5 linked regions of the Coturnix japonica genome follow. The protein of the gene in region 1 purifies or fractionates together with the protein of each later gene. This does not show direct contact. Links are inferred from orthologs where the notes say so. Each region holds a gene or a part of one and is shown in the gene's direction. Other genes may lie near its edges.

Region 1 (4,927 bases):
GTGCTTATTTTGTTCAGCTGTTCTGTAATTAACCTGGGCACAGCAGCTTCCACTGTGTTCCTTCCTGAGCACTGCCAGAGTTTGGTGAGCTTTGTTGCAGGGTTGTTTTGGTGACAGGTGAATTCTGCCTGTTCTCTGCTTTCTCCTGAGAAGACAGATTTGCTTCCCCATTTAACGTGTGCTTCTCCCTTTAATTTGCAGAGTTTGAAAGGGGCTGATAAGTTAAGGGTGAAAGCTGAGAAGGAGAAAGTTGCCAGATGCTTGGAGCTGCTCAACTTCCTCCTCAAAACTGCGACGCAGCAGGTGAGAGTGGGACTGATCCTGTGTGTTTTGTGCTCTGTGACACACTGAGTGCAGGGCTAGTGGTTCTTCTCCTTCTGAACACCACTGAGGTCTCTGTCAGGTGTCATGCTTGGATTCTGTGACTGCTCTGCCACTGCATCCCTATCCAGCTGCTTTCTGAGTGGGAGCGACGCATTGTTCGGCCCTATAGAAAAGGGCCTTTTTAAGCATAAGGTTTTCTGTAGGTGACAAAATGAGTTTCCAACATGGTCTTATTTACTAGAGCAAAATAACGCAAGCAGCATAATTGCTGAAGCCCAGTTTCCTACTGATAAGCATGGAACCCACAGCACAGCCTGTTTCTTTGTTAATACCTAATAGGAAAGTGGGTGGGGAGAGAGATTATTTCCAGGGTTCTTGTAGCACTGAATAACCCTGGAGACACCCGTTTCTGGCTGGGTTCACTGAAATTGGCCCGTGGGTCACAGAAGCTGTAAGAGGCCATTGGAGGCAGCGTGACTGCATCATTTAAAAACCAGACTGAAAATGCTGCTGCTTTGCTCTTAGATGGGTGCACAGTACATAATCTTCATCCCTACGCCCCCAGTCATGGTCTGTAAAGGAAAAAAGGACTAAAGGATCTTTCTGTCCCTTTCATACCGGTACAGTTCCAGCTTACACTCACAGCTGTCATGCTAGGGACCAGTTTTCAATCGAACTTTGTACCTGATGGGGGCATGAATTGCCTGTTTTTGCCCCCCACATTGAAGTGCTGCAGTGAATGGGCTCAGGGCGGTGGCTTGGAGTAACCAGGCAGCTTGGTTGTTCCTGGCAGTTTTACCTGAGGTTTTACTGTGTCCTGCAGCTGTGAGTCCCCTTCTGAGCTCAGTGCTGATGGTTGTTTTGCACTCGCCTCCTGCAGAAGCTGCACGTGGAGCTGATGGAGTTGGACAAAGTGCTGGTAGCTCTGAACCAGCAGGAAAGCATCGGGAAGTCAGCACGGCTCGACTCTCTGTACTGGAACGTCATGCGATGGCTGAATCACACGTACGTATGCCTGGCTCTTTGGCTTCTTGGCTCACCTGGGGGGCTGACTGCCTGTCCTGCTTCTCCTCTTTGATGTAGGAGGTAGGAAAACAAAGCAGGGTATTTCTTTACCGGGGACACTGTGCAAGGACCTTCAGCCCCTTAAAGTGATACTTGGGCTCCTTGTGGCCTGGAACCCCAGCCACATTTGCCTTGCAGCTTTGAAAGCTGGAAAGCATTCAGTCCTTATGCCTCAATACTCTTGTGCTAAATGGCATCTGGATTTGAATTTTGCTCCAGGGCGAAAAAGAAGGGCAGGATCTTTTTCTCCTTTCTATCAATAGCTTGTAATTGAAATTCTTGCTTCCCCTTCCTTCTGGCAGCGTTGGTGATGTGCACAGCATTCAGGAAGTGCTGGGTAGCTCTCCTAATGGCTGGGATTTGCAGTCTCAGTGTGTGGGTGGCCTGGTCTGTGGGATCTCAGCACAGTTTGGTTCTGGGGGAAATACTTGCACATGGCTCACTGTGAGAGGCTCACAGGCAGGGAGGGACTGCACAAAGGCACAGCCTCATACAGGTCACTTGTACTGCAAGGTCTGTCCCAAGATGAAGGTCAGTTTTAGCAGCAGGTAGAGACTGCGAAGGGGGATTGCTCAGGGAAGGTAGGTAGGCAACACTGACCTTGTGCATGCTGTCGGAGGAAAGGATTGGGGTTTGTGGGTGCAGCCTGCTGTCACTTGGTGCCACTGTGCTGTGGCAGAGCAGCACAGATGGGCTTTGCTCAGGATGGACAGACAGCATCTCTGTAGCCTCACTTGGAGCCATGGATGGTCCTGCTTGAGAAATGGGGCTTCTTAATCCAGTCTCTGCAAGCCTGTGCAGCCCTACAGCTCAGTTAGCCATCTTCTCTGCAGGCTGGGGGCCACCTCCAGGGATGACACTCATCCTCACAGCATGCCTGTACTTCCTGCATCATTCTTGTGCTCCTGCCTGTTTGTGGCTGCCTGCAACATGGATAGCTTTGCTTCTGGCTTTAAAACGAGTTGCTCTTGATTTTTGGTGTTCTCTCTGCAGGAAGCCCAAGAAAGAGAAGACAGCCAATAAACCTGTGCAGGAAGCAGAGCCACTGAAGCGTAAGAAGAAAGGGTTCCTACCAGAGACCAAAAAACGTAAGAATCGCAAGAAAGCCGTTAGGGAGAATGGAGGAGCACCAGCAGCCAGTGAAGATGGAGACTCAGCAGCCCCAGATGAGAAGCCACTGGGAACAGAAACCCCTGAGCAAAAGGACGGCCGTCTACCTGGTAGCAAGAAGCACAGGAAGCGGAACAGGGGGGTCAGAGAGAATGGGGTGGCAGCTGAGGGCAGAGAGAATGGAGCTGTTAATGGTGAAGATGCTGTGGCTGCGAAGAAGAGGAAGAAGAAGAAGAATAGAAAAAGAAAAGGTGATGCAGGCAATGAAGCTGAACAGATTCCAGCTGCAAAGAAAGTCAAGGGAGATGTCAACCAGGAGACCCAGCAGAAGCAGGGCAAAGCCAAGAAGAAAAGGAAAGAGAAAAAATCTGCCGTGCTGCAGGAGTAAACTTCATGGACTCACCCTGGTTTGGCACGGCTAATGTGACTCAGAGGACTGTTCTAATATCTTTTATAACTATATTTTTATGCCCTCCCTGAATTTAAATAAACCTTCCATGATGCCAAGCTTTGAAGCTGCAGGTCTGACTTGTTGTAAGAAGGTTCAGTTGCAGTACAGGGATCTGTGTCCCATCTGGCTCTGGCAACACCAAACATCCCGAGCTCAGTAGCACAGGCTCCATTTTTATATGATAACCTCAAGGCAGAAGTGAGAGGCTTGCCTGGATTCCCTGGGGATGTGGTAGGTGTGCTGACACTGCAGAGTTGTGTGGTTGAGCCCTGTGGGAGGTTCCCCTGAAGGGCTGTTCTTGTCCTCTTCAGGCCCTGCAGTATTTGCAGCTTTTCCAGTCTAGAAGATGCTGTCTGTTTGAAATGCCTGAGGGTTAAACGGGCTTGTACATGCATATTCTGAGGTTAAATATATCCAATCTGGGCCACTCAGATGTCATCAGTAACTAGCATGGTCTTGCTTTTTTGCTTTCCCCTGTGCATCCCTTTGCTTCTGGGTGCAAGAGGGATGATGCCCCTGGTTTGATAGCACAGGGATGTCAATAAAACACTGAAAGCAATTGCAGTGGCTAATTAATTTGTTAGTCTGCCAGGCCAGCAGACTGTGTGCAACCTCATCCTTCCTTTCCTCTCCCTGACCTGCTGACCACCACGCTCCTGGAGGCTGGACCTGCGGGGCCCAGGAGCGGGGCTGTTTCTGCAGCACCTTTGGCTTTATTTCTGCAGGTGAATTTGTTCTACGCCACATGGGTAAGGGCAAAGGAAATGTCATGTTGCTTTTGGAGGGACACTGCACTACCTTTGCAGTGTCTTTTCTCAAATGGCATAAGACTCCCCAGGAGGCAGCTGCTGGCATCAATACGATCCCATTCAGTTGCAGTGGGAAGGCACAGATCTCCTCTCATGTCCATGTCCCAGCAGCAATCAAGCGAGGCTTGTTGTGCATCCCAGGTAGTGAGCTGGCTTCTGGCAGCAGCAGGTTAGGGCTGGAGCTGCAGTGGCTGCCTGCTGGCAGGACTCAGCAATGTCCTTTCTTTCCCTGCATCTTGTGTTCTACTCTCACAGCTCTTCCTCTGGCACCTTGTGGAGGCAGGTACACAGGTATGTTCATTGCAACCCTTGTCAGAGCACTTCTGGCAGTAGCTGAGGGCATCCTCATCTTAGGGACCAGCCCTACAGGAGCGTGCAGTCAGACCAAGTGGTGATACAGGAGAGGCAGCCAGGTGGTATGTTTTAAATACTTTTATTTCTTAATTTACATAAAGGTATAGATTTGGCTTATTTCTCTCTCTTTTTTTTTTTATACTCTGAGATTCACAATCGATTGCTCTTAAAAAATAAAATAGTCATTTGCTTCTGAAAGAAATCAGAAAACTATTTTATACTCTCCCTTGTATAACAAGAAAATATACTGTATACTCCCATACATCACGTAGTAAAGGTGATAGTAAGCGCTGGTTTACCAAACAATAAAGCAAATGGAGAAGACAACAATTAGGGCAGAAGGTGCAGAGAATAACTCTGATTTCCATTCAACATCCATTCATTTCATAGCAATCTGTCACCCTGAGGTTCTCCCTTAGCTAGTTCTGTAAGAGGTGAGAGGCTGTTGGGTTCCCCCACTCAGATACAAGCTGAGTGACAGCAGCAGGAGGCAGTGTGGTTACTTGGCTTGGCAGCTTGCTGCTTTTTGGGTAATTTTCTTGCCTCTTTGTGCAGTTCCCATTACCTCTTCCTCTTGCTGTGTACAAGCAGTCTAGTTGCTTCATAGCGAGTACATTGGTGCAAATGCAGTACTGGCTGCAGAGGGAGTTAATGCTTGCTTAAAAACAAAACCACACACCATTCATGAAGTGAAGCAAAAGAAAGCTGTCAGGATTCAAAAGGGTTGATCCTGGACCATCCCCTCTGAACACCCTACACCTGTGGGGTCAGGCACAGATCCTGATGCTGAAAACCTGTCTGCCTTTCCCATCGC
Region 2 (6,390 bases), on another chromosome or scaffold:
GTAAAGAATTACAAGTTGGCCTTTCCTCCACTTCATTTTGTGTCTCAATTTGTAAAGCTGAGAGAAAATCATGACTGCTTCTAGGTGATTCAGATAGGATGTAATAGAACTGGTGTGAAATTGCTGCCAGAGCCAGCCAGAAGGTTAGACTAGTTTGACAAAATTAACCAAAATGTTCTAAGCCAAGGAAGTTCCATTTTCAAGAAGCTTTCTTCTTTTTGGTAAGATATTGCATTGAAAGATCAAGTTTTTGCAGTACATTATTCCAGTTTACCAGTGAAGCCTTTCCAGGTGTCCCTAAAGGATTATTTGTCTGTAGTGAAACAAAGAACAGATCCTTAATATTTTGGCTCATACCAACAATCAGAAGGTTTACTAGCTCTGTTCAAAAGCTTGAGGATATCATTTTCTGTATCATTCTGAATCATTGAATCACAAAGTTGGAAAGGACCTACAGGATCATGTAGTCCAACCGTCCTCCCATTACCGTTGCTAACACAATTGATCTCATCTGGATTATTGTTGGTGAGGCAATTGACAGGCATGGCATAGACTTTTAACTATATGCTACACAAAACAAATTAGCGTTGGGTTTTAAGGGATTCGTAGAGGATAAACATCGAACCAGATATTCATCATGCAAAATAACAAAATTCTTAAATTTAAGAATGAATTATATGGTAGTGAGGAGAAGAAAAAAGGAAAAGGAGGCACGCTTTTTAAAGTTATTGGGATTGTGTTCGTTTTCTTTCCTGCACAGAACTGGATGAAGAACAGTTTGAGAGTTACTGACAGCACTTTGCAAAATCAGGTGTGGGATATTTTTTCTGAAGCAAATGGAGATGTAAGTTAATTTAAGATAATAATAAATAAGAGGTATAACGCTGTACAACAGCAGTGCATTAAAAAAAATGTTTATCTTCAGAAATCAAAGCTTTTTGTTACCTGTAACTTGATTAATTTTAGCAAATATATCTTAAAAAAATATACAGACTCTATACTGACTCTAATCTGCACATTCCTTCTTCCTTGTATTCCGATAATGCAACTAATTATTAATAGCAGTGTTTCGGAATTATGTCTTTGCCTGCTAAATATAGTGTTTCAGTTTAGGATGTACATAATGTTTTGTATCATCATGTTTATGTTTTCTGGCATTCACATCAATTGTGCCCTTAGAAATTCCAATACTGCATTTTAAATGCCTTGAGAATGGAGTTTTTAAACATGTATCCATGCAACAAGTGCACCATTTATTACATAGAGCAAAATATACTGTAAAACAAAGCAAAACAAATAAAACCAAGCCAAATATTTTTTTACATGATAACATTTCTTCTGTGATGTCGAGGTTATTAGCAGTTAACAGAAGAATCAAGCCATAGAGTTTACTACTGGTGTTACCTTGTGTAGTAAGCTTGGCTGAATTCAGGATAGTGGTGTATTTCAGAAATGGTGTAGTGCAAAATAGCTGAATTAACAATTAAGGAATGTCAAAAATTGTAATTCTCTGTCTCTCAAAATAGGTGGCAGGTAAAAAAGAACCTGACAAACCACAACAGAAGGATGTAGTACAGTCTGCAGATAATGGGCAAAAAGCAGTGGCGGAAGAAAATGAAGTTACAGATGGTGAAGCCAAGCAGAAAAAGAGTAAGAAAGAAAGAAAAGAAGAGAGACAAAAGAACAATAAGAAGGAGAAAAAAGATCTGAAATTAGAAAATCAGCCTGTGAGCTCAGAAACTAAAAAGAATAAGAAGTCCAAAAAACAGAAGGAGAGCTCGGAGAATGAATTTGAAATGAATGGAAATGGCCATCAGAATGAGATTGAAGAGGAAACCAATGTCAGGAAACGCAAACATAAACATGTAGAAGGTATCTATCCTACTTACTCTATTATTGTTTCCAGACCTTTGCCAGTGCCTAAAAGATCAATAATCTACTTCAGTGGAATTTGTAAAAGTAATGAATGTTAAATACACAGATTTTACAGAACATGAACATCCTAACAAATAGAAGCTTATGTTAACAAGAATAGAAATTTGCTCCCCATGGAACTTCTAGTTTTATCACTTTTTCTGTGTGTGCATTTCACCTCTAGAGGAACCCTGTATCACAAAAAAGAGAATGAAAACTGAAAGCGTGTCAGAAGACATGGAAACAGAGAACACCAATGGCGATGAAGAAACTCTTGGAAAAGGTAAAGATATTCTGAAGGGGAAAATTTAGATGGTTACAAAACTGTGTTACAAAAGATCTCGTGCAGAATATGATGCTTTTGCAGAAAGCTGTGAAGTAAGTTCTGCCTCAATCATAACATTCACTTATCTGTTCCAGAGGAAGAAGCCTGTGCTACACTTTACACCTAGTTCTGCATTCTTATGTTAATTCTGTGCTGGCAGCCTCTAGCTACACTTAATTTCATCAGACTTTGAGGAATCTGGAATATTTGTTTCACCACATTAGGTTTCTTCCCTGCTGCCATACACCTGAGGCAGCACAGAGGAAAAATGATAGCAGCTTTGTATCTGTGTTGTCTTTTAAATCACCATTTTTTATAATTGAATCATAAATTCGAGTTTATATCTGTGTTTGACTTGGTTTGTTCTTAGATATGCCAAGGCACTTCACTATCTTTGAGGGATGTCTGTCCTTGAACATGCAGATTGTGTATTATGTAGTGGTTTCTGGTTTATAGCTGAAACTCAGGAGCTAAGTGAAAGCCATCTTGACCCTAACTACTCATGTTGCACAATGGTTCTTCATGGACATCCAATTAAAATATTCAGGAACAGCCTACCTGACTTTATACTTAAGACATTCTGCTGTTGTAAAGTCAGTAGGATAACAGAGAACCATGATGGCAGCTGAACTGGTTCTAAAAGAAGAAGTTTGAAGGTTCCTACCACAAGATCTGGTAAACTTACATTTTTATATGCCTAATTATTTTCTAGGTAAATTCAACTGGAAAGGAACCATCAAAGCTGTTCTGAAACAGGCTCCAGACAATGAAATTTCAATTAAAAAACTAAGGAAAAAGGTACAGTGCACTATCTTTTTTTTTAGGTTCTAAGTCTTCTTTGCTCTTGAGTTTTGTTTTCCTGTAGTGCTGAAGCTTGTAAAATCCTGTTCCTGTCAAAAATGTTTGATGTTTCTTAGCAGAACATGACTAGAACTAGACTCATTCTTTAGAACTCAGTAGAATACAGAGGCAAGTTCTGCAAACGCGTAGCGTAGCAGTTTCTGTACTACTTTTAATACAGTAACATGATTGTATTACAGCTTTAACTGGATCTTTACTAACTCAGAGCTGTTCCTCTTTCTTTGTGCAGGTTATAGCTCAGTACTATGCAGTAGCTGGTGATCATCACAAATCAGAAGAGGATATTCTAGTTACGTTTAATAAGAAAGTGAACAACAATCCCAAATTTAAAGTTTTAAAGGACAAAGTGAAACTTGTGAAATAATTTTTCATACTTTCCATAATGTTTGCAGTGCAGACTGAGTCAAATTCTGCTGTCAAGTGGACAGACATCATGTATTGGTCTCAATTTTAATTGTTTGCATATGAGAGTTCAGAATTTAAGTCGGGACTCCTTTTTCTAGATTTATTGCAGAATATTTTAGGAGTGCTGCATATCTGTTTTCAGATCTTTTATAATTTTTAAGGAAAATGTATATTTTTTTGTACAAGTTTTAAGAGGCATTGAAAATAGTAGGCAACAGATATATAAAATTCTTCCAGTAATGGATTTAATTGATAGGCATGAATGTCTGTCAGGACCACAGTTGTGTGGCTTTTTGTAGAAACTACTGTAAGATCAATAGGATTTTCATATTCAAAACCTCAACATGGAAAAATGTTTTGTTATGATCCAGTTAAAAATGGTATGATTGATAGTTTCTTTATGCACTGTAGCTTGTATACACAGGCTTTAATGACCTCTTAATTTTATGTTGTGAAGTGCATAACTACAATGTCTGTAAAATTTATGTTTTTAAGATTGCACGTTCAGTGAAAATCTAAAGACTGTTACCTGTATGTGCATAGCTACTTAGTGTTATAATTAGTATTGCAACTGACTGTAAGTGATCTCACTTATACTAAAAATTGACCAGTGAAATAAATGACTGTAAAGCACTACCTTGAATGTATTAAATCTTATCAGTTTATAATTGTACTGAAAAAAGGAACAAACCAACTGAGAAGAAATTTGTGCATGAAATCCACAGACTATACATAATTTCTTGTATTACAGTCACCAAAAAATTTTAAAAGGCAGAAATCTTAATTAAAATACTCAAATTTGTAAAACTGCTGGATTTATTAGAAGTATGAAAATGTTAAATGTCTGGGTCCAGTTTTTTTGAGTACATATTTGTCTTGTTTATAAGAAAAAAATACAATAGAAGTCCATAAAAAGTTTCTTTCTTCACTAAGTGCTTGTTTGCCAGTTCATGAGAATGGCTTTGGATGTATGTGAATAAAATTTATTTACAACCCTGGGAAAACTGAGAAGTTCTTTCAATGCTTTTCAAAAGCTATTTTTTATTTTTATTTATTTATTTTAATGTAGGAAAGGACAGAAGACTAAAGTGAATACACTCCCATTAATCTTTTCACTGTTTATTGTACTATAAATATGGATGTCAGACAGAGATATTAAGTAGTTTTGTTGGAGTAATTGTTAGAGGTTTTAACTATTGTTTAAAATTTGTTCCAAGTTAAGCCATTTTTTTAGTATCTTCCAAAGATTAAAAGTTGTTTTATTGACCATGCAAACGTTGACCATGTGGTGGTGACTACACTGACCATGTTGTTGACCATAACAAATATCCAACAAGCGTATACAAATGACAGACATGTATAAAACTGAGATATGGAATATCATATCAGAATGACAATACGCACCAGCTGAGCAGGATTTGCCCATTTTCCTACAGTAACTTGTGATTCTTAATGCTTGAAATGCCTGATTTCCACTGGGTGCTGACATGCCTGTATTAGTATTGCCTATGTGGGACTGTAAATTCGACTTTTGCATCTGATTCTTCTCTCCCTTAAAGGGCAAAGAAGCACAAGCTACTTATTGGCCGACATGGAGGAAATTAACGCCTCCTCATTGATAGTCACTAGCAGGGAGTCTACTATCATCCTGTTACATTAGTATTTCTTCATTATATATCTTTATAGCAATATCACCTTTTCACTGTCTGTTGGCAGAAAGAAAGGGAGGGAGGAAGAATAGGCTTTGCAAACTTGTATGCTTTTCCTTATGAGTATTGCTGGAAGTGGTACCGTATGGTAGAGGAGACTGTGTCCCTAAAGATCACTTGAAATGCTAAAGTCCATGCACAGCTGCATTACTGACACACAGCTCAACATTAACAATAATAATAAAAAAAGAAATCAATATTTTTTCATTAGACAAGAGATTCCTCAGAGGTCTGAACGTGGCTTTTTTACTTAAAACACATTCAAGATTCAGTTTACTACTTGCAGGTAACAATGTTTCTATCTAACTGAAATTACCCTCTTAATAATTACCAGTTTAATGGTCATCATTTCAGAGGGGGGGATACTCCCTTGTATCCCATTCAGAATATTTCACCAAGACATAAAAACAGTAAGACCTTCCTACTTTTATCTCAAAAATGATTAATCAATGTATTGACTGATTTGTTTGTTTGTTTCAATCCCAGTGGTCTGTTACAAGGAAGTTACATACCTACAGTCATATTGGCAATGTTAGCAGTCACAATAAATTGATGAGAAACCATCAGATATCAGTAACGTAGCATTACAGAATGTTTAAGAATATTCTGTTTGCTGATTTTCTAAACAGCATAACTTATCTCCATAAGGAAGCATGCTTTATCACTAGAATTTTCCTTCCTAAAATATTGTATTGGAGATCGAATGTCTTTGGATGAGTGAGAAAGATGGAAGTGCTGTTGATCAGAAAATGAATTGTTTAAAGTCGGTGGCTTTCTTGGTTAAGTGTAGCATCAGAATTTAAGCAGGGATTTTAATTGCTGAAAAGAAGAAAGCTTCAAAGGATGTCTACTTGTTTGTTGTACTCAGCACTCCACCATACGGGTGCATTAGAGTATTTCATTCTCCTTTCTCCCTGTGAAAAAAGATCCTCCCACCTGGTGCTCTAATCTGATTGCATCAGTACAATGCAGTTGGAGCCCAACATGAGTACAGGCTTATAACTGATGACCACACGATACATTTTCCATTTGGAAACTTTTAAAGCTGTAATGCTCACCCTTATTAAGGAAATGAGAGAGCAAGTATTAAACTTTTTGTGCAAGATAAGCAAAAAAAAAAAAGTATATAGTTCCATACATTGGGCTGTGTTCACAGGTCACAAGATATCTCAATAT
Region 3 (5,618 bases), on another chromosome or scaffold:
AGGCATCACTTGGAGTATGAGTTGTGTGATGTATCTATAGGTATTAAGTGAGCAAGGTGCTTCTTGGCCTTCACTATAGGAAAAGAATTAGCTTAAATTTATTTCCAAACATAATTTAAATTAGTGTTACTCAAAGATGTAATTTTTGGTTGGGAAAATCAGCCTTGTGTAGTTTGGTAACTTTCTATAGATTTAGGATTTCCTTATTGTAGTATTGATAACTGTAAGGTTTGCACCTTGAGCATTGAAGTAGAAGGCAGTATATTTAACTGCACCGTTGGTAAGTAGAGTATTTTACTTAGCAGCATGTTACCTGTTAAAACAGTTTATGGTGAATGACAAATTTCTAATTGTAGTGATGAAGACGACTTGGATGATGATGAGGAAGAGATTAAAACACCAATGAAGAAAGTAAGTGGTCCATTTGTTATTTTGAATAATACATGTGACCCTTTTCACCTGTGAAGAGCAGTCTTAGAGCTCTTTATTCAGCCAGGAGTGGCAAGTGCTGAGTGGTTCTTAACCACCTGTGTGCCATGTGCAGTAGGCTGTGGTAGCTTTATGTATGGGTGTTGGGCATCAAGCACATATTTGTTCCTACACATGGATTATGCCTTGCTGTTTCAGTCTGATAAAGGTGATGGTAGTGACAGGACTTTGGGTAAGAAAGGGTATAAAATGTGTGAGCCTATGGGAAGGGGTTTAGATGCCCGGTGTTCAAAGTTGTCTGCCCTTCAGTGCCATCTGGTGGTAAAAATAAAACAAAACAACTTCACAGCTGCAGAGATTTAATGCTTTATTTGAACGTGTATGTATCGGCTTGAATTTGTATTAAAATAACAGCTTTCTTAGGGACAGAACAGTTAATGTATCAGGTTTTTCCAGTCATCTAATCACTGAGTGAAATGGACCTTTGGTTTAAATAGGAACACAGGAATGTGGTTCATAGATATGCATGTGGCATTGCTCTTCCACAATCCCAGAGTAGATTTCTGTATAAAATACTAGAGAGTCTAGGATATAAATGAGGAAAATAGTCCTGTCTATGGCCTTGTAGCAAAACTTAATTGTTCTCTGTGGTGCTGAAGCAGCAAGCAGGCTGTCTTTTCATATGTAATTCACTGTTGTTTCTAATTTCTGCTTAAGTAATGGGCACTGAAAACACTACATGGGGAATGAGACCTCATGCAAAAACTTGAGGTTAAATAGTGTTTATTTGTCACAGGCTTTTCAGTGTTGTTAGCACCCATAGCAGTATTGTGTTTTCATGGCAAATTGTTTGGATTACTTTCTTTGCAGCCTGCCCGGGAGCCAGCAGGAAAAAATGCACAGAAAGCAAAGCAAAATGGAAAAGACTCAAAGCCGTCCACACCAGCATCTAAAACAAAAGTGAGTGGAAGAAAAATGAGTGAAATGATTGTGTTGCTCTGGAAGCTGGTTTCCTTGCCTAGCAGAAACTTAATGTGTTAATCATCAAGTTAGCATGCTTCATATGCCTTCAGAAACCTGTTACTTCCTTGCTTCATATACCCCATGAAACTCAGTATTTGTCCTTTGTGAAGGTTAGATGTCTGGTAGTTTTTCTGCATCTACTCAAAGAAGGTCAATACACAAATTAGAGTGGGATGATGGGTACAAGCATGGCACCTGAAAAGCACAGTCAGTGCGTGCCTTTCCAAATTGTGAATCAAACTTGGCTGTAGTTGTAGAGGGAGCTCTAAATCAGGGAATGTTTGGGCTGGTTTCAGTTTCGTTTCTGCTTGAAGAAAAAGCAGTGTGGACACGTGCATAGAAACAGTTCAAGATAATTATGGTAATTATTAGCCACTTCTTGTATTGAAGATAAACTCTACAGTAGGTTTCCCAGTATTTCTGTTTTCAGAAAGCTTGTTTTATGCATAACTCTGTATGCAGCTTTGTATGTGATCTCTAACAAAATGAATAATTTTCAGACTCCAGATTCCAAGAAGGACAAAACTCTAACTCCAAAAACACCCAAAGTTCCTCTGACGTTAGAGGAGATCAAAGCAAAAATGCAAGCCTCCGTAGACAAGGTGAGTTTGTTAACTGTGATCAGCCTTATTTTTAACACTTCCAACAGCAGAAGAATGGTTTTGAGAACTGCATGTTACTGCTTGCTGTGCTCTTAACTCAGTGTATATTGATAAATTCGTATTGACACCCAGAAGTGAAAGAAAGATGATTTAGAATAAGCCTCTGCTTGTGAGAAAGTGAGGAAAAATATTTAACCAGTAGTAGTTATTAGTTTTGTATTTGCTGACTGAGTGTGAGGCTGCAGGATAAAAGTGGAGCACAGTAATCACTTGGGGTGATGTTTACTCTAGTGGTACAAAATAGTATTCATGACTTGTGTTTGGGGCAGCTAGAGTAAGGAGGAGTTCTTAGCATGCTTGGAATTGCTTTGTCCTCCAGCAGTATACAGAGTTGATATCCAGAGGCATGTAAGGCTCTGTAACTTCCAGAAGGGGGAGATAGATGCTTGTGATTAAAGCTGTGTTTGGATAGAAGTGCTCTGTCAGTTGCTTGAGTAAAAAGTGTGGTAAGAATCAGCAGTTCTTTTCCCATAAGCCAAGTCTGAATACCTGTGTGCTATGTAGGTTCACTGCAGACAAACCTTTACTTTAGAACAGCTGGAGGTGAGGACCTGACATCACCAGCTGTGGTTTTTTACTTCAGTAACTTAGAACTGCATAAAAATCATGTGTCCTTTGGTGACTGAACAATACGTTTGGAAAGCTGTTTTTGAATAAAGCTGAAACCTACAGTGATGACAGTAAATGGAGAGAGTTTTTTTTTTGTGATTTGAGATGAGCTGTTTCCTCCTTATGCTGACAAGTCACCCAGAGAATCACTATCATGGAATGGTTGGGATAGTTTCAGACCTTGTGCTGTGTGTGAGTAGGGATGTCTTCCATTTTGCAGTTGTTCCAAGCCCCATCCAGCCTGGCCTTGGATGCTTCCAGGCATTGGGGTATCTGTACCTTCTCTGAGCAACCTGTGAATGCTGATAGGATTAGGCTTATCTTGTGTTTAGATTCCTGAAGTTTTAAGGCAGTTTTGTCCCACTAATGCAAAATGCAGCAAAAATTATTTTAGTGTACAGAGGGGTGCAGAGTGAGCAAGGATGGATGGGTGGTGCTTCTATCAGGACAGACATGCGGATCCTTATGTGGTGAACCTGATGCTGACAAGATGTTTTTGAGGTCAGGTTAACCTCTTGGTACAGATGGGTGCTGGGGTGGTTCCTTGAGATTTCATGTTTTTTAAGATGGTGTTTATCTCTATGCAAAATGCAGTGTGGCGTTTAGCTGTAACAGCCAGTGAGTTAACAGCTTAAAGAACAGCTTCCATTGTTTTATTAATGTCATAAAGAAGGTTTTCTTTAGTAAATATTAAGCAGATATCAGCAAGCAAATGAAACCAGTAGATTGCAGGGGTAAGGCATCATCCAGACGACATGAGTGAAGATGCCTGTCCAGGCATTTCAGTGCAGGCACAGTGCTTTGAGAAATACCTGGGTGCCATAGAAAAGCAAACTTAAACCTTTAGCTTTTGGACCTTGCAAGGTGAGTTCAGTAAAATTCCACTTGCGTTGCAGAAGGTTGAAGCTTCAGCAGAGCTGTGGAGCGTATGCGGCTCGTTGCATCATTCCAATAAAGCTTGCTTTTTTTCAAAATAGGGTTGTTCCCTTCCGAAGCTGGAGCCCAAATTTGCCAACTATGTTAAGAATTGCTTCAGGACGGAGGACCAAAAGGTAACTGGATTTATTGAAACCTGATAAAACCCAAAGCCTTTTATAACCTAACCTAGGGATTCTTTTCCACTTCTTAATCTTTACAAGCTTTGGACTCTTTCAAAGGGTTACAAACCACGAACAATGCTTCAAATTAAATGGGAACAGTTTTAAGGGTTTAGTTGGCTAAGATGAGAAAGTTAATATTTTATTACATTTTTCCAGCTTTTATATGGTTGGTAAATTATCTCTTGCTTACCGAACCCACAGAATTTTCCTTTTGGCACCGTATTGGTGAAGGAAATGAGCTGTGGTTTTCCTTGCTGCTGAAGTTGGCCACCTAGGCCAGTCTGCCGCTCAGCCTTTTGTTGGGGAGGGTGTCTGGGAGGGGGAACTGTTTTGCAATTGAGATTATGGCTTTCTCGCCGCGTTTTCTCCCAAAGTCAACTGAACTCTTGTAAGAGGGCAAGCCAAAAGGTGGTATCAGGAAGCAAGCTTCTGTATTAGTTATTACTCAACTTGTACTGGGCTAAAAAGCGTCTTAGATTTCCCTACAGAAATTCCTGTAAGTTGAAAACTTCTCTTCCAGTGACAGAATTCCTTACGCTTTCTTGCTTCCTTCGGTGGTTCAGAGTAAACGTGTCTGATAGGCAAATTGATAGGTTCTTGAAAGAGTGCTTAAAAGCAGTTAGCCTCAGCTACTGGAGTGAGTCTGACATTAGCCAGGGTAGGCAGAGTTCAGCCAATATTTGCCTAGCTGGTCCACACCCATCCTCTCACTTACCTTCACTGGATTTTTATTATTGTGATTGAAGCGAATAACAGCCTTCTAGCAGAAGGATCCGATGTGTTGCTTTCAGCTTAGTTTCCTCTGAAAGAAATGTGGGGTTTTTTTGGTCATTGAATGTCAATATAGCAAAGCGGGTGAAAAATAAAAACCACAACAAGAAATAGATTTCAGTTTCTAACCATTTGTGTACACTTCCAGGTCATTCAAGCTCTCTGGCAATGGAGACAGACTCTGTAAGAGAACCATTTAAACAGTTTGTTAAAGTCTGCAGTCTTACTTCTGTAACCGTTATTTGGCTGTTCTTTTTACAAATGCTGAAAGAGCTTTCCCTACAGTGTCTGATAAATGTCATCCAGATTACCTTGCCAAGAATGTGTTGTCCAAAATGCCTGTTTAGTTTTTAAAAGACGGGACTCCACCCTCAGCTTCATTTTAAGTATGTATGGAATGTTTTGATAAGGCATGGTGGTGTGGTGGTGGTGGTCAGACAAATGGAAATGGTGGGAAGACTAAATGTACGTGGAAAAAAAAATAATAAAATTTAGTATTTTAATAAAGTATTATCGTTTCTTTCTTTATGGGTTGGGGGTAGGCTGCATACCAAACCCAGGAGATAACAGGGCTTTTAAGTTCTCGTAGGAGCTACTGCTAACTATTTGAGCTGCTTCTCTTTAGCAACTACACATCGGTCTCGGTCATGTTGTCAGCTTTAAGAACAGCCATACCCCAATTCCGTGAGCTCCGCAGCTACTGAGCAAATGGCTTATAGTGAGAAGGCTTAGTGGTAAGCGGGACTTTATTCTTGTCTGGAAGAGACCACTAATTATGTAATTGCATACAACAGCCCTTCCTGCATCTCAGTTTCTGACCCGCTTCATTGCCTTTTGGTTTATGGTTTCATTCTAACAGCTAAGTTTGTAGGGTTTGTGACTCTGCTTGTAAAATGTAATACTTTTGATTTGGGAACTGCTGGCAGTGCTGTTCCTCTGAGGGGCTGCAGTCTCTGAGGTTGTCTCAATGACTGGGCTAAGGGTTTTGTGGAGGGGAGTGTAAGCTTGAATGCTGAAGGATGTG
Region 4 (6,180 bases), on another chromosome or scaffold:
TTGGTTATTATTTTTCCTGCTGCAGCTTCTGGCTGTAGGTGCTGGTAAAGGTACTTAAACTGACAGCTGTGTGACACAGCTGAGAGATGATTTGTGGTGAGGCTCCATTTTCACACTAGGACAGCTGCTGGTTACCGAGTTGTTGTGGAGAAGCAGGGCATGGGGATGAAGTCTGTTTGATCTTTTGGCTGTCAAAAATCACCTGAGCACAGGAGACCGATAAGGATGGCACAAGTGAAGTTTGCTGTACTGGATGTGTTTTGGTGATGAGTTTCTCACATGGCTGAAATGATGTGCTTTTCTCTGGGCTGAAAAGCAGGCAAACCTAAAGAGAGCTGCAGCACAGCAGGAGAGGAGCTGATGGGATTTCTTGTTGAAAGAGATCAGCTTTGCACTGACTAATTGCAGGCTTAGGGAGAAGCTGCTTGGAACTCTTTTCCCTGTGAACGTTATGAGTAAGGAGTAGGTTAGAACATCACCTTCAGGCTTCCCCCATCCAGCTCATGAGTTTTCTCCTCTCTGAACTGAGGTGTTTGTTTTGCTGCTTCCTTGCCATGCACCGGATGGGCTACTTGCTGTGCAACACTTGGCACAGGCTTCTAGGCTCGAGCCTTTGTCTTCCAGCTGGTGGATGTGGATGGTGTGAGGAGGGGATGGGACACAGCACAGAGTCCTTTGGCTGGCTCAGGGTTTAAAATCCAACCCTGTCCCTCCTGGAGTCAGCCTGAGATCTGACCTGGCAGGAGAGCTTTCCTGACCCCAGCTGGAGACCTGACCTCTGCAGAGCGAGCAGACAAGGTTTTGTGCGCAAAACTGTCTCCATTTACTGGAGATTGTTTTGAGGAGGGCTCCATCAACAGAGCAGGCAATGACAGGCAGTCCCACAGCTCCCACAAACTCATTTCCATTGTATTCTGCACCCGATCCTTCTCTGCCTTCTGGATGGCAATTGCTGCTGCCATAAGAGCCTGTGCTTTCCTGGAGCAAGTGAGGAGGACAGAGCAGGTGTCAGCGCTGACTCCACCAGCCATGAGTGCTGTCATTTCCCCTCCTTTGCGCTGTGCTTTAGCTTGTGGTCCCAGTTTGCTTTGAGTGAATGCATTCAGTGAGGACACATCTCTTTAGGGACATATGGGCACAAAGCTGCTGCCACAGGGTGAACCTGCAGCTGAGATGGTTCCCTGCTCACCAAGCTCTGCCTGGCTCCATCCTAGAGGTGCTGGGGTGGCTGTGCTCCTCTGCCGGGTGCTGCTTCCCCGTATGGCGTGGTGTGTTTTGGTTTTGTTCTCAGTGAAGTATTGCAATCTGACTCATGTATTTCTGCCGTGTCTGAGGAACCTCCCGTCACGCTCGGGGCAGCCTGTCCTCATCACCCGGTACTGTGAGGCCGTCCTGCCCCGAGCCCATCGCTCTGCTCTCTCTCTCTCTCGTATATAGCGTTCTGGAGTGTGGCAGTTCTTGTTCCTGAGGTGCTCGTCCGTTCGGTTTCCTGCTGTGAAGGGTGTTGTGTTTTCTTTCTCCTTTCCCGGTACATTTTTGATGCAGTGGTTGTGGAGGTTGGGCCCGACCCCAACCGCCCTCAAAGGAACCACGCAGTGTGTCCGTGCAGCGGCCGGGCGGGGTTTGTGTATCGTGTGGTGAATCGTGTCAGTGAGTTCCGCCTTGTCCCGGGGCAGCGGGGCGGGGGAGGCCCGAGCTCGGATCGGCCCGGACGGACCCGCCGTGCCGTGGGCCGGGGCTGCAGCGGCTGCCGGGCCCGTCCCGGCCCCGCACCCGTCCGCTGTGGAGGGGGGCGGTATTTATTGCTAAGTTATTGCCCCGCGCGGCGACGGCGGGCGTTATTTATTGCTGTACATAGTGTTCGTCTGCCGGCGCGGCCGCCGTTGTTTTGTACATGACAATAAACAGCTTTCAAACACCACGGCCCGGCGCTTCCTTGCGGCTCGGTCCTCCGCCGCTCTAGGGGGCGCTGTTGCGCACCGCGGGGTGGGAGGGGACGGAAGCGGCGCTCGGCCGCTCCCCGAGAGGAAGCTCATAGCGGAAGTGCGGCGCTTCCGGGGCGATGGCGGCCGGCGGCAGCCTCAGCCGCACGGAGCGGAAGGCGGCGGCGAGAGCAGAGATCCTACAGCAGGAGGAGCAGCGGGACCGGCGGAGACAGGTACGGTACGGTACGGCACGGCACGGCACGGCACGGTACAGCACTGTACGGTACGACACGGTACGGTACGGCGCGGCCTGGCCTGGCCGCCGTGACGCGCTGTGTGTGCCGGGCAGGTTTCCCGTATCTGGAGGAAGCCGCCGTCGGAGCGGAGCCCCGAGGAGTGTCAGGTGCTGAGCGAGAGCGACGACATCGTGCGGGAGCTGGAGCGGCGCCGCAAGAGGCGGGACAGGCTGCGACGGCGGCAGGAGGAGGTGGGAGCCGGGCGGGGCCCAGTGGGTGCGGCTGGACGGGGGCGAGGAGCCGCTGTGCGATGTGACCCGGGGGAGCTGGTGGGCGCTGAGCTGCTGCTGTGACAGCAGAACTGATGGTGCCGCCCTCCCAGCAGTGCCCCCATCCCTCGGGGCTGTGTCCTGCTGTGCCGGTCTCGGCTGATTCCCCCGCCCCAGCCTTGTTGCTTCTTGCGGCTGCCAACCTCTTTGAAGCGTGTTTGGTTTTCTGAGTGGGCGTTCCCCCATGGAGGGGTGTATCTGCATGTGCTGCTGTCCAGAAACCCTTTGTTCCTCCATAGATAATACAGACACCAAACACCCACATTCTTCTAGTTAAAAATTGCTTCTGATAATATTTGTGTGATGCGTTCTCTGGCTGGCATGGACCCATATGGCCAAGGGGCTCTATGTTCCTTCAGGTTCAGTGACATGCTGAAACTGCCCATTTGCATTTCCTAGGTATGTGATGAGCCAGAGGAGCTGAAGAGAAAGGTTGTTGAGCTGGCTGCTGCTATCCGGAATGCCAAGCACCTTGTCATCTACACAGGAGCAGGGATCAGTACGGTAGGATTCTTTGGGGGTGAGTGGCTGGAGCTTTGGGAGCTCCTTCAGGAGTGTTGCAATGTTTGAACTCTGTTTTCTGTAGATTCCAAATGACCGTGGGGATATCACAGAATCATAGAATGGCCTGGGTTGAAAAGGACCATAATGGTCATCCAGTTTCAACCCCCTCACTACATGCAGGGTCACCAACCACCAGACCAGGCTGCCCAGAGGATATCTGGGATTCTATATTAACACTGTTGAACTACAAACCATGACCAAGGTGTTAACTAATTTGCATCTTGAGATATTCCTGCTGGCCAAGAGATTCTGAGACTGCATCGCCTCTATGCAAAGAATGAGCTTCTAAAATAAGACCAGTAGGCTGTCTTCATTCACGTCTCTTCAGCTGCTTTTGCTGCTAAAGCTAAAAGAAGTTAACTGCTCAGTGCAGCCTGCATTAATAAACGATTTGGAAATAACAAGTGCTTACTAGAAGTTAAAAATGATGGTTCAGAAATGGTTTCTGTGGCCTCTTACGAGAAAGGCAATCTGGAGCTGCCTCTTTGTATGGCACATTTGTCACTTCTGTCTGAGCTCTGAGATGGGAACCTTATTGTTCTTCCCCTTTTCTGCAGTCTCAGCTGATAGGGAGCATGGAGCAGGGCAGAGCGTATGAGAAAGTGTTCATGTCATAGGTGCTTCTTTTGATGATCACTGAGTACGACCTACCTGAAATCAGTAGAGTGTAAAGAATTAAAGGTTCAAGAAATGGGTTCTGTGTGGGGAAATGGGAAGTAATTGAGGGAGGAGAGTGTTCTGGAGGGATTTCATAGTGATAAAGCTGGAGAAAATAAACACTGCACAAGAAAATGAGAACTGTAGGGTAGGAAAAGAGCTCTCTATAATTAGGAAAACATGAGAAAACTTGGAGTGAACAAAAAAGCAGCAGTGAATGCAGTATCTCACTGTCCAGGGTGAGGCCAGGTTGATGTGGTGGTGGACAAGAGGTCTGAACTTTCCCGTCAGGCTGCGCTTTGTCTCTCTCCATAACGCAGGCAGCTTCGATCCCAGACTACCGAGGCCCCAATGGCATTTGGACATTGCTGCAGAAGGGCAGGAGCATCAGGTAAGGTGACAGGAGTGAATTTTTCCTTTCTCTTTCCTGGAAAAACAGTTCTACAGCTACTCAGGAGATGAATTTTGAGCTGCCCAACAAACAGCTGATACTGAAAGAGAGTTTGAATGGCAATTTCTAACTTCTTTTTTCTTTTTGCCCCTTGTCAGTGCTACAGATCTGAGTGAGGCAGAGCCCACGCTCACCCATATGAGCATTGCTTGTCTACACAAGCATAACCTGGTAAGATTTTTCTCTCCGTACATCACTTGTGCTCCTCTGTCACAGTACAATAAATCAGCTCAAAAAGGAAAACAGAAACTCACGACGTTGCCTAACTGTTGTCCTTAGTGAGGTGGCAATTGTCCTTGTTTCTGTACAGCTGAGCCTTCATCAGGCCATGTCCAGACTGGCTCCAGCAGTTTTTCCCTTGTGCCTTTTTTCATTAGCTTGTGTTTGCTTCCTGGCAAAGCTGTGGTCTGGGGATGTGGCTACAGAATCTGCCAGGCCTAACAGAGCTGTATTTAGCAGGAGCCTCTTTGTTTAGCTTCCACAGAGTTCTACTCTGTGCTTTTCTTCTCTTAGCTCAGTATATTGAAGTAGAACTATTTATTGCACATTGAGATATATGTGTTACCTGCACTGGAATAACACTTTCTCGAGCCTTCTCTGTGTGTGTTATTTCAGTGTTTTGTTCTTTTCCAGGTGCAGCACGTGGTATCTCAAAACTGTGATGGGCTGCACCTGCGCAGTGGGTTACCTCGATCAGCAATATCTGAGCTTCATGGAAACATGTACATAGAGGTGAGCAGCAAGAAAAGGACAAAGGTACTGCCAGTACCGGCCTTGTAAAAAGCTAATGTTAATTATTTATCCCTTCCTGACTCAGGAATTAGTACAAGGGCTAGTTGTGGCTTAGTTGGTATCTGTAGGTTGTCAGTTTTGGGGTGAAGTAGTTAGCAGGCCCCATGGTTAAGTTTTCTGTACAACCTGGCAGATTTTGCTCTGTATTTGCTAGAGCCTTCTGCTTTTGAGTGCAGTTCTTCAGGCATTGCTTGAAAACCTGTCCTATTGCCCAGCCAGCCTGCCCCCTGCAATGCCTCTCACTCAGTAGCTGAGTGTTTCAGAGTGTTTCCAAGTTAGCATCTAAACACAGGTGATTCCTTCCACTGCTTCCAGGTTTGTTGTCCCCAAAAGGTGCTTTTTGAGGTGTGGCTGCATCTCTGGGCTCTTAACAGACCAGATGCTGACAATACAACATCTTTTCTTCCTGTGCTATAGGTCTGCACTTCATGTACCCCCAACAGAGAGTATGTGCGAGTATTCGATGTGACCGAACGCACAGCCCTGCACAAGCACCACACGGGCAGGATGTGCCACAAATGCGGGGCTCAATTGAGAGACACAATCGTCCACTTTGGGGAGAAGGGGACACTGACACAGCCCCTGAACTGGGAAGCAGCAACAGAAGCTGCAAGCAAAGCAGATGTGATTCTTTGTCTGGGTTCCAGCTTAAAGGTAACTTTAGAGACTCGGTGAAGATTGTTAGCAGCATTCCCTCTTGGTGATACACCTTGGTGCTGAGCAGTCTCCTCCCAAACAGACAACTGTAAACTCTGGTGTCAGGATTCGCCCACCATCTGTGTGATAGTCTCACTTCCTCCCTCTTTCCCTTCCTGGTAATACATTCCTTTTCCTCTCGCTGCTCTGGTTCACGGTTACTCGTGCCTTTGGCCGTGCTGATCATTGCTGGGTTTTTTTCTGGCAGGTTTTGAAGAAATACCCCCGGCTTTGGTGCATGAGCAAACCTCCCCCTCGTCGTCCAAAGCTGTACATCGTGAACCTACAGGTGAGAGCCTCCGCTGGGCTGGGTCATTGGGTGCAGCAGTGGCAGCGTGTGCTGCAGCACGTGTCCTGCTGTCACCTCGCAGTGGACGCCCAAGGACGACCTGGCGGCCCTGAAGCTGCACGGCCGCTGTGACGATGTCATGCGGCTGCTGATGGAGGAGCTGGGCCTGCACATCCCCAGCTACGAGCGGTGAGCGGGCACGGACCGGCCGCGGGGGGCGGGACGGGCCGCAGTGGATCCC
Region 5 (6,212 bases), on another chromosome or scaffold:
CCATTTTGAAGTCAGACAAAGCAGAAACCCCACCTCACACCTGACACAGAACAGATAACCCCGACTGCCACCACAGGCATGTTGTTTGCAGGGCTCCCTCCTGGCAACATGGTAAAGCACATCACCAGAAAGCCCGATGTATGATCTCACTCCTTGATGGATCTGTTTGTCACTGCAAACCCTCAGATGAATAAACAGGATGCTTGGAGCAGCGCTCCCCTCCCGGATCTCTGCTGTGGCTAATACACTTACATCAGTGCTCCCTAGCAGCATTCCCCAGCAGCTTTTGGGCTGGGATGACAGGACTCAGGAGTGAACCTGGAGGAAGTAACAATTACTTCAGTCATCTTTCCTTTTTTCACCTTTCTTGAGGCGACTCCTCCCAGCAACACCGTGCTGACTGCACCCTGCAACCCTCTGTCAAACTGCTCCTCTAAGTTTGGCTCTGGGAGACTGCAAAGCTTTAAAGCACGGTTTAGCCTCCAAACACCCGGTGGGTCTGCTCGTGGCCCGCCCCTTCCTCGCACGCCGTAGGGCAGACTTACACCTGCGCCACGGGACAGCAGCCGCGGCAGTCCGGCACGGGACACCCGTGGGCCGGGCAGCACCGGGCAGGACGCGCACACCGTTCACTCGTGGCTCACAGCCCTGTCTCAACCTGGTGATAAACCTTACGCCTGCGATACGAAGCCGCACAGCCGGCTGTCACCTCAGCTACCGCGTCCAGCGGGGCACCCACGGAGCCCCTCGGCGAGGCCCTTCAGCACCGCCAGCCCACGGGGCACCGTGTCCGGGCAGACGCCAGACCCGCCCGCGCAGCCCGCTGCTGTGCCCGGCCCAAGGACCCTCCCTCCCGCCGCGCACCGTGTTGTAGAACTCCGCGATGGCGGGCACGATGGTGTAGTTGTCCTCGCACCAATCCACCTCGGAGCTGCCGGCCCGAAGCTGATCCCACCACAGCATCGCGCCCATGGCGCCCGCCCGCCCCTGCCAAGCGATAGCGGCTCTGCGGGGCGGGGCGGGGCGGAGCGGGACGGCTGTCCCCCCTCCCACCTCCCTCAGTGCCCGCCCCCCTGGCGGGGCGGCCCTGACTGTGGAGCCGCGGCTCCTGGGACCCGCCTCATGCCAGGGGCCGCTCCAAAGGCGCTGCTTTCCCGGCTCTTGCCGTCCCCGCACGGCCCGCCCGCCCTCCTTTGTGTGCATTAGCAGCACTTGTTCTAACGCTGGGGTGGAAATGTTTGGCTTCTCACGTCCTTCTGCGCAGCACCAGACTGAAAAGAGCGTGGCACCATCCTCTGAATTCCTGAGAAATTCTGAAATTCCTGCACTTTGGGTATTTATAAGCAGTGATAAGACCCCCCTCTTCTCTTGGGGAAGCCTCTTCTCCAGGCAGAACTGACCCAGGTCTCTCAGGCTTTCCCCGTACGACAGATGCTCCAGATACATAATCATCTTTGGGTGATGGACTCTGAAGAAGTTTTCCTTCTTGAACTGAGCAGCTCAGAATGGGACTCTAGATGCGTTCCTGCAGATACTTCAGGCTCTTGGGCTCAACATTAGTGTAATGCTGAGGCTGTGCACAATACCAACCAGCCATGCCCTTTTCCTCTCACAGTATCACAGTCTTGTGCGGGTTGGAAGGGACCTTAGAGATCATCGAGTCCAGCCCCCGGGATTCGAGCCTCTGTGTAGCAGAGCGGCACTTCTAACACTTGCGCCACAGGGGGGATTCGAACCCGTGTCCTCCGGTGTTGCAACGCTGCATTCCTACCACTGCGTCCCCGGGGCGCACTAAGTGACGTGGGGCATTGGGGGGGGGTCACACGTCTCCTAGCGCTGACAGCCCGGAAGCCGCCCTCCCGCCACGCCCCCTAGCGAGAGCAGGCCTCGCTCGCAATTGGACAGCTGCGGTCACGTGTGGATGGGCGCGGCGCCGGTGGGCCGCTCTCGCGAGGGTTGGCGAGCGTATGTGCGGGCTGCGAGCGGAAGTGAGGCCTTTTTGTGCGGCGGCGCAGCTCGGCGAGGATGAAGGTGAGGCTGTGGCGGCGGCTGGGCGGTGCTGCGGGGGCTGGGTTCCCGCAGCACAAATGAACCTGGCGTTGCCTCTGGGGCTGCTGACGGGGCGCGATGGGCTGCGGTAGCGGGCTCCGGGCGCATCTGCGGGCTGGATGACGGTGGATTGCGGGTGGTTCGAGATGGCGGCCGCGCGGCACCGTGCCCCATGTTGGGGCCTCTTCCTGCGCTGGGGACTCTATGCGATGGGTTGAGTCACCCCGTTATGGGGCTCCTTACGGCGGGGAACAACAGCGGATCCTCACCGAGAGAAGCAGAGCCCCAGCAAGGAGGTAGTGGAGCTGGGCCTGCTTCCGTGGCCTTGTGTCTGGGGAAGTGCTGGGCAGTGTCTCCGAGGTTACTGGTCTTGCAATAGCCCTCGGGAAACACGGGTGATAACCAAGGCGTAGCGTGACTATTTCAGGTTGCTCGTGTTGTTTCTTTCAAGTCATACATAAGAGGAAGGGCGTACGGCTTTTTGTTGCTATACCGCCATTTACTTGGTGGCAGTCAGTTTAGAGGGCATAGTGCTTTCGTTGTGGTGAACGTAGTTGCATGGGGCAGGTTTGGTATCATTCTTAGCACACACAGATTTGCCTGGTTCTGTAAGTGCAGTAGTAACAGGTTACTGCTAATAAGCAAGTAGAAGCTTTCAGATTTGAAACATTAAGGTGAAACCAGCAGTTAACACTAACTTTTTTCTGGAAATGTCATGTGAGAAGCCTCAATTAAATCATTCATTGTTTATTTTTTTCTTCTGTTAGCTCAACATCTCTTTCCCAGCCACTGGCTGCCAGAAGCTTATTGAAGTGGATGATGAGCGTAAGCTGAGAACATTCTATGAGAAGCGAATGGCCACGGAGGTTGCAGCTGATTCTCTTGGCGAGGAGTGGAAGGTAAGAGTCCAGTGTGTCAGGTGTAGTCAAGTTGATTAAGTTTTCCAGTTCCTAGGGTACTTTTGTGCTATGCATCTGGCAAATATGTTGAAAGTATCTCTTAAAATACATACTGAATTTAATGAATGAGCAGGGTTTTAGTTCTTCTTCCTTTTTCTTTTAAGTCTATGTGTTTCAGACAGTTGCTGGATTTTTAAATAGTTTTCTGTTCTTGATTTGGGTATCCTAGCAATGTTCAAGACAAATGAAGACTATACCACGAAAGTCATAATTCTGCATTGAACAAGCTCAAGGATTATTTAAACTGTTAAGTGCATATGAGAACAAGCATGTTGAACTTGATAGATAGGTTTGGAATAGTGAGATGTCAATATGGGCAGTCCAGCTGAGCTTGAATAAGATGATCTGTGTTGCTGCTGTCTCTTAAGGAAGGCAGTAAGAGCTATTTTTACCCCCATGTCTTAATAGAAACATGTTGTGTACGTATGTGCAGTTAGTGATGTTAACAGACATTGGTGAGGTTCAGCATGAAGGCAAAGAAAAGGTTAGCATGAAAGCGTTGGGGCTTAGTTTGGTGTGTATTACACTAGCTTGTAACAAATAGGAATTTGCTGCTTGGATACATGTTTGAAGAGGCAGTAAATGCTAGTTGGGATATGTAAAGACATGTTTCATGTCTGTGTTAAGTGAGCTTCAGCCTGAGCTGTTGAAATGATGTATGTTGAAGCAGTACTTAGTGTCTGCACTTACAGTGACTTTTCTGGTGGTGCAGTGTTTGATAGGAACACAGTATTGTGATCTCCACCTCCTCTCGTTGAATTGATAGGGACTTGAGCAAGTAAGAGGTGTATTTCTTTGTTTCTGCAGGGCTATGTTGTCCGGATCAGTGGTGGCAATGACAAACAAGGCTTCCCCATGAAGCAGGGTGTCCTTACTCATGGACGTGTCCGCCTTCTGCTCAGCAAGGGCCACTCCTGCTACCGCCCCAGGAGAACTGGAGAGAGGAAACGCAAATCTGTTCGGGGTTGCATTGTTGATGCCAACTTGAGTGTTCTGAACTTGGTCATTGTGAAAAAGGGTACGTGCAGTCTGTAGGTAGAAGTAGGCACCTGGAAAGAACCTGCGTGCTAGTGGCTGTAAAGTCCTGTAGAATACAAACGCTGTCTCAGTCTTAATTGTCTAAATGCACGTTAAAATTCTCTCTAAGCATTGTACTGTAACTTTAAATGATGAGAACTGATCACAAGCAACATTATTTCATTAAGTCAGTGCAGTCAGAGGAGGCACTAGTGGCAGGTGTACCCCAGGGATAATCCACCTAAATTGCTCAGAAAGTAACGCTTCCTATGTATTTCCATGGGAATGACAACAGTACCAAAGAGCACAATAACGCCATTTGATAGAGCAAGGTCTCAGCTACAGAACACTACTTTTTAACATAGGCACCACTATTAGCTATACATTTTCACCAGCAGTGAACAAGAGCAAATGTAATAAAATAGAAGGTGTTATTTTTACAGCAGCCGTCATAGTATCTTGCTTTTATAATTCACTTTAAATTAATGAGCAACTATAGTTAAAGAGATGTTTAGTAGATGCAAGACTAAGTAACATGTCTAAATTTGCTTTATCAAAGGTGAAAAGGATATTCCTGGGCTGACAGACACAACTGTGCCTCGCCGTCTTGGTCCCAAGAGAGCTAGCAGGATCCGCAAGCTGTTCAATCTCTCCAAGGAGGATGATGTTCGCCAGTATGTTGTGAGGAAACCTCTGAATAAAGAGGGTAAGAACTCAGGTTTTACAGCACTGTGGTTGCGTGTCATTTTCAGCAGATAATGAGTTCCATAGACTTCCCTAGTGCTTAGAACAAGGGGCAGTGTTCTGTTTTCTGGCAGGTATTTTGAGAAGCCAGGTATCTTCACAAAACTATAGGAATTTAGAGAGGCAGTACTTAATGTTTCCCTGCTTGATAACACATCAGTGTTAAGGCTGCATTTTGTTAGTGCTATGTGTGACAAAAATTGGATTGCTTTTCCTGCACTGTATATACTGTGCTAAGTGTTACTGTTTGAGTGGAATATGCTGTTTTATGGTTGTTGGGGGGGGGCTTGCATCCTCTTTGGAAGATAGCTTGTCACACTTCTTATTAATAACTCATTTTAAGGCAAGAAACCCAGGACCAAGGCTCCTAAGATCCAGCGACTTGTGACTCCTCGAGTTCTGCAGCATAAGCGCAGACGTATTGCCCTGAAGAAGCAGCGCACTCAGAAGAACAAGGAGGAGGCAGCAGATTATGCCAAGCTCTTGGCAAAGAGAATGAAGGTACGTGTACCCCTCATGACATGGCTGTTCCTCATGCCTGAGAATCTTGGGATTTTATAAGCTTGACTGTACACTTAAAAATGTGTGGTAGAAACTGACTGGTATCTGAATGAGAGCGTGAATGTTTATTTACTGGCAGACAACTTTGAGAGCGTTGCTATTCATTCTTGCCAGTGCAGTAAAGCAGTTGAGGTGATGGGTCTGGTCTGTTTCTCAGAGCTAATTTTGAAGAAAATGATGGGCATTTATAGCCCATGATAATGATACGTTTTTTGCAGTACCAGTTTTAGTTGAAGTCAATTTGAGTCTGACTAGGATGCTCCATTAGAATGCAGAGTTTCTGTCTGAAGGTAAAGCAGCAGTGATTATGGAAGTAATACTTTTAGTTTATTTAGCACAGTATTGAGTGTTTTGTGACTTCCCGACTGTGATATAAGACAGATAGACATCTTATATGTCCTGAATTCTTTGTTAGTATCTGCACTATTAGTTTGGACACTGATCTGTATGGCTTGAAGGCATATTGGTGTGTGCAGGTTTGGTATTTACAGAATTCTTTTGGTCTGGAAGTTTAATGCTGGATTGTCTTTAAGTGCTTGATAACGTCTAACACAACACTGCACGTTTCTTGATGCGTTATTGTTTGTTCATTTCTCAGGAGGCCAAGGAAAAACGACAGGAGCAGATTGCCAAGAGACGCCGGCTTTCTTCATTGAGAGCTTCTACATCTAAATCTGAGTCAAGTCAGAAGTAAAGATGCACATGATATTGAAAATAAAACCCTTTTGTGGTTAAATTCTACTGCGAGACTTATAGTGAATATATAGTTCCTGGCTATATCTTAAAATAAATGGTAGTCCAGACTAACTGCAGGACTCGGACCTATATGGGAGTTCAGTCCATGGTCTTGAATCTGTTCTTCTTAAGAACCTGTAATGGTTT

The links.
Region 2: the proteins of MYBBP1A (region 1) and LYAR purify together in Homo sapiens (affinity purification with mass spectrometry; 3 studies listed by BioGRID and IntAct, with this or other methods). This does not show direct contact. The link is inferred for Coturnix japonica from reciprocal best matches to the Homo sapiens genes MYBBP1A and LYAR.
Region 3: the proteins of MYBBP1A (region 1) and NPM1 purify together in Homo sapiens (affinity purification with mass spectrometry; 3 studies listed by BioGRID and IntAct, counting the BioPlex papers as one, with this or other methods). This does not show direct contact. The link is inferred for Coturnix japonica from reciprocal best matches to the Homo sapiens genes MYBBP1A and NPM1.
Region 4: the proteins of MYBBP1A (region 1) and SIRT7 purify together in Homo sapiens (affinity purification with western blotting; 3 studies listed by BioGRID, with this or other methods). This does not show direct contact. The link is inferred for Coturnix japonica from reciprocal best matches to the Homo sapiens genes MYBBP1A and SIRT7.
Region 5: the proteins of MYBBP1A (region 1) and RPS6 purify together in Homo sapiens (affinity purification with mass spectrometry; 3 studies listed by BioGRID and IntAct, with this or other methods). This does not show direct contact. The link is inferred for Coturnix japonica from reciprocal best matches to the Homo sapiens genes MYBBP1A and RPS6.

The regions. Positions count from the first base shown.
Region 1 is NC_029534.1:2,081,253-2,086,179, forward strand, and holds the end of MYBBP1A (myb-binding protein 1A), read left to right. Parts: intron 1-201; coding exon 202-303; intron 304-1,204; coding exon 1,205-1,329; intron 1,330-2,382; coding exon 2,383-2,887; 3' UTR 2,888-3,014; downstream 3,015-4,927. UniProt on the Homo sapiens protein: May activate or repress transcription via interactions with sequence specific DNA-binding proteins. Repression may be mediated at least in part by histone deacetylase activity (HDAC activity).
Region 2 is NC_029519.1:71,292,346-71,298,735, reverse strand, and holds the end of LYAR (cell growth-regulating nucleolar protein), read left to right. Parts: intron 1-760; coding exon 761-844; intron 845-1,526; coding exon 1,527-1,872; intron 1,873-2,098; coding exon 2,099-2,197; intron 2,198-2,951; coding exon 2,952-3,037; intron 3,038-3,329; coding exon 3,330-3,464; 3' UTR 3,465-4,509; downstream 4,510-6,390. UniProt on the Homo sapiens protein: Plays a role in the maintenance of the appropriate processing of 47S/45S pre-rRNA to 32S/30S pre-rRNAs and their subsequent processing to produce 18S and 28S rRNAs. Also acts at the level of transcription regulation.
Region 3 is NC_029528.1:13,576,982-13,582,599, forward strand, and holds part of NPM1 (nucleophosmin), read left to right. Parts: intron 1-356; coding exon 357-411; intron 412-1,299; coding exon 1,300-1,389; intron 1,390-1,952; coding exon 1,953-2,054; intron 2,055-3,700; coding exon 3,701-3,775; intron 3,776-4,742; coding exon 4,743-4,781; 3' UTR 4,782-5,618. UniProt on the Homo sapiens protein: Involved in diverse cellular processes such as ribosome biogenesis, centrosome duplication, protein chaperoning, histone assembly, cell proliferation, and regulation of tumor suppressors p53/TP53 and ARF.
Region 4 is NC_029533.1:4,426,809-4,432,988, forward strand, and holds the start of SIRT7 (NAD-dependent protein deacetylase sirtuin-7), read left to right. Parts: upstream 1-2,021; 5' UTR 2,022-2,062; coding exon 2,063-2,158; intron 2,159-2,274; coding exon 2,275-2,412; intron 2,413-2,889; coding exon 2,890-2,994; intron 2,995-4,031; coding exon 4,032-4,102; intron 4,103-4,260; coding exon 4,261-4,333; intron 4,334-4,795; coding exon 4,796-4,894; intron 4,895-5,371; coding exon 5,372-5,608; intron 5,609-5,858; coding exon 5,859-5,939; intron 5,940-6,021; coding exon 6,022-6,128; intron 6,129-6,180. UniProt on the Homo sapiens protein: NAD-dependent protein-lysine deacylase that can act both as a deacetylase or deacylase (desuccinylase, depropionylase, deglutarylase and dedecanoylase), depending on the context. Specifically mediates deacetylation of histone H3 at 'Lys-18' (H3K18Ac).
Region 5 is NC_029547.1:30,386,623-30,392,834, reverse strand, and holds RPS6 (40S ribosomal protein S6), read left to right. Parts: upstream 1-1,898; 5' UTR 1,899-2,025; coding exon 2,026-2,031; intron 2,032-2,816; coding exon 2,817-2,948; intron 2,949-3,815; coding exon 3,816-4,026; intron 4,027-4,584; coding exon 4,585-4,731; intron 4,732-5,112; coding exon 5,113-5,270; intron 5,271-5,928; coding exon 5,929-6,024; 3' UTR 6,025-6,140; downstream 6,141-6,212. Other genes in the region: ACER2 (alkaline ceramidase 2), read right to left, coding at 865-972. UniProt on the Homo sapiens protein: Component of the 40S small ribosomal subunit. Plays an important role in controlling cell growth and proliferation through the selective translation of particular classes of mRNA.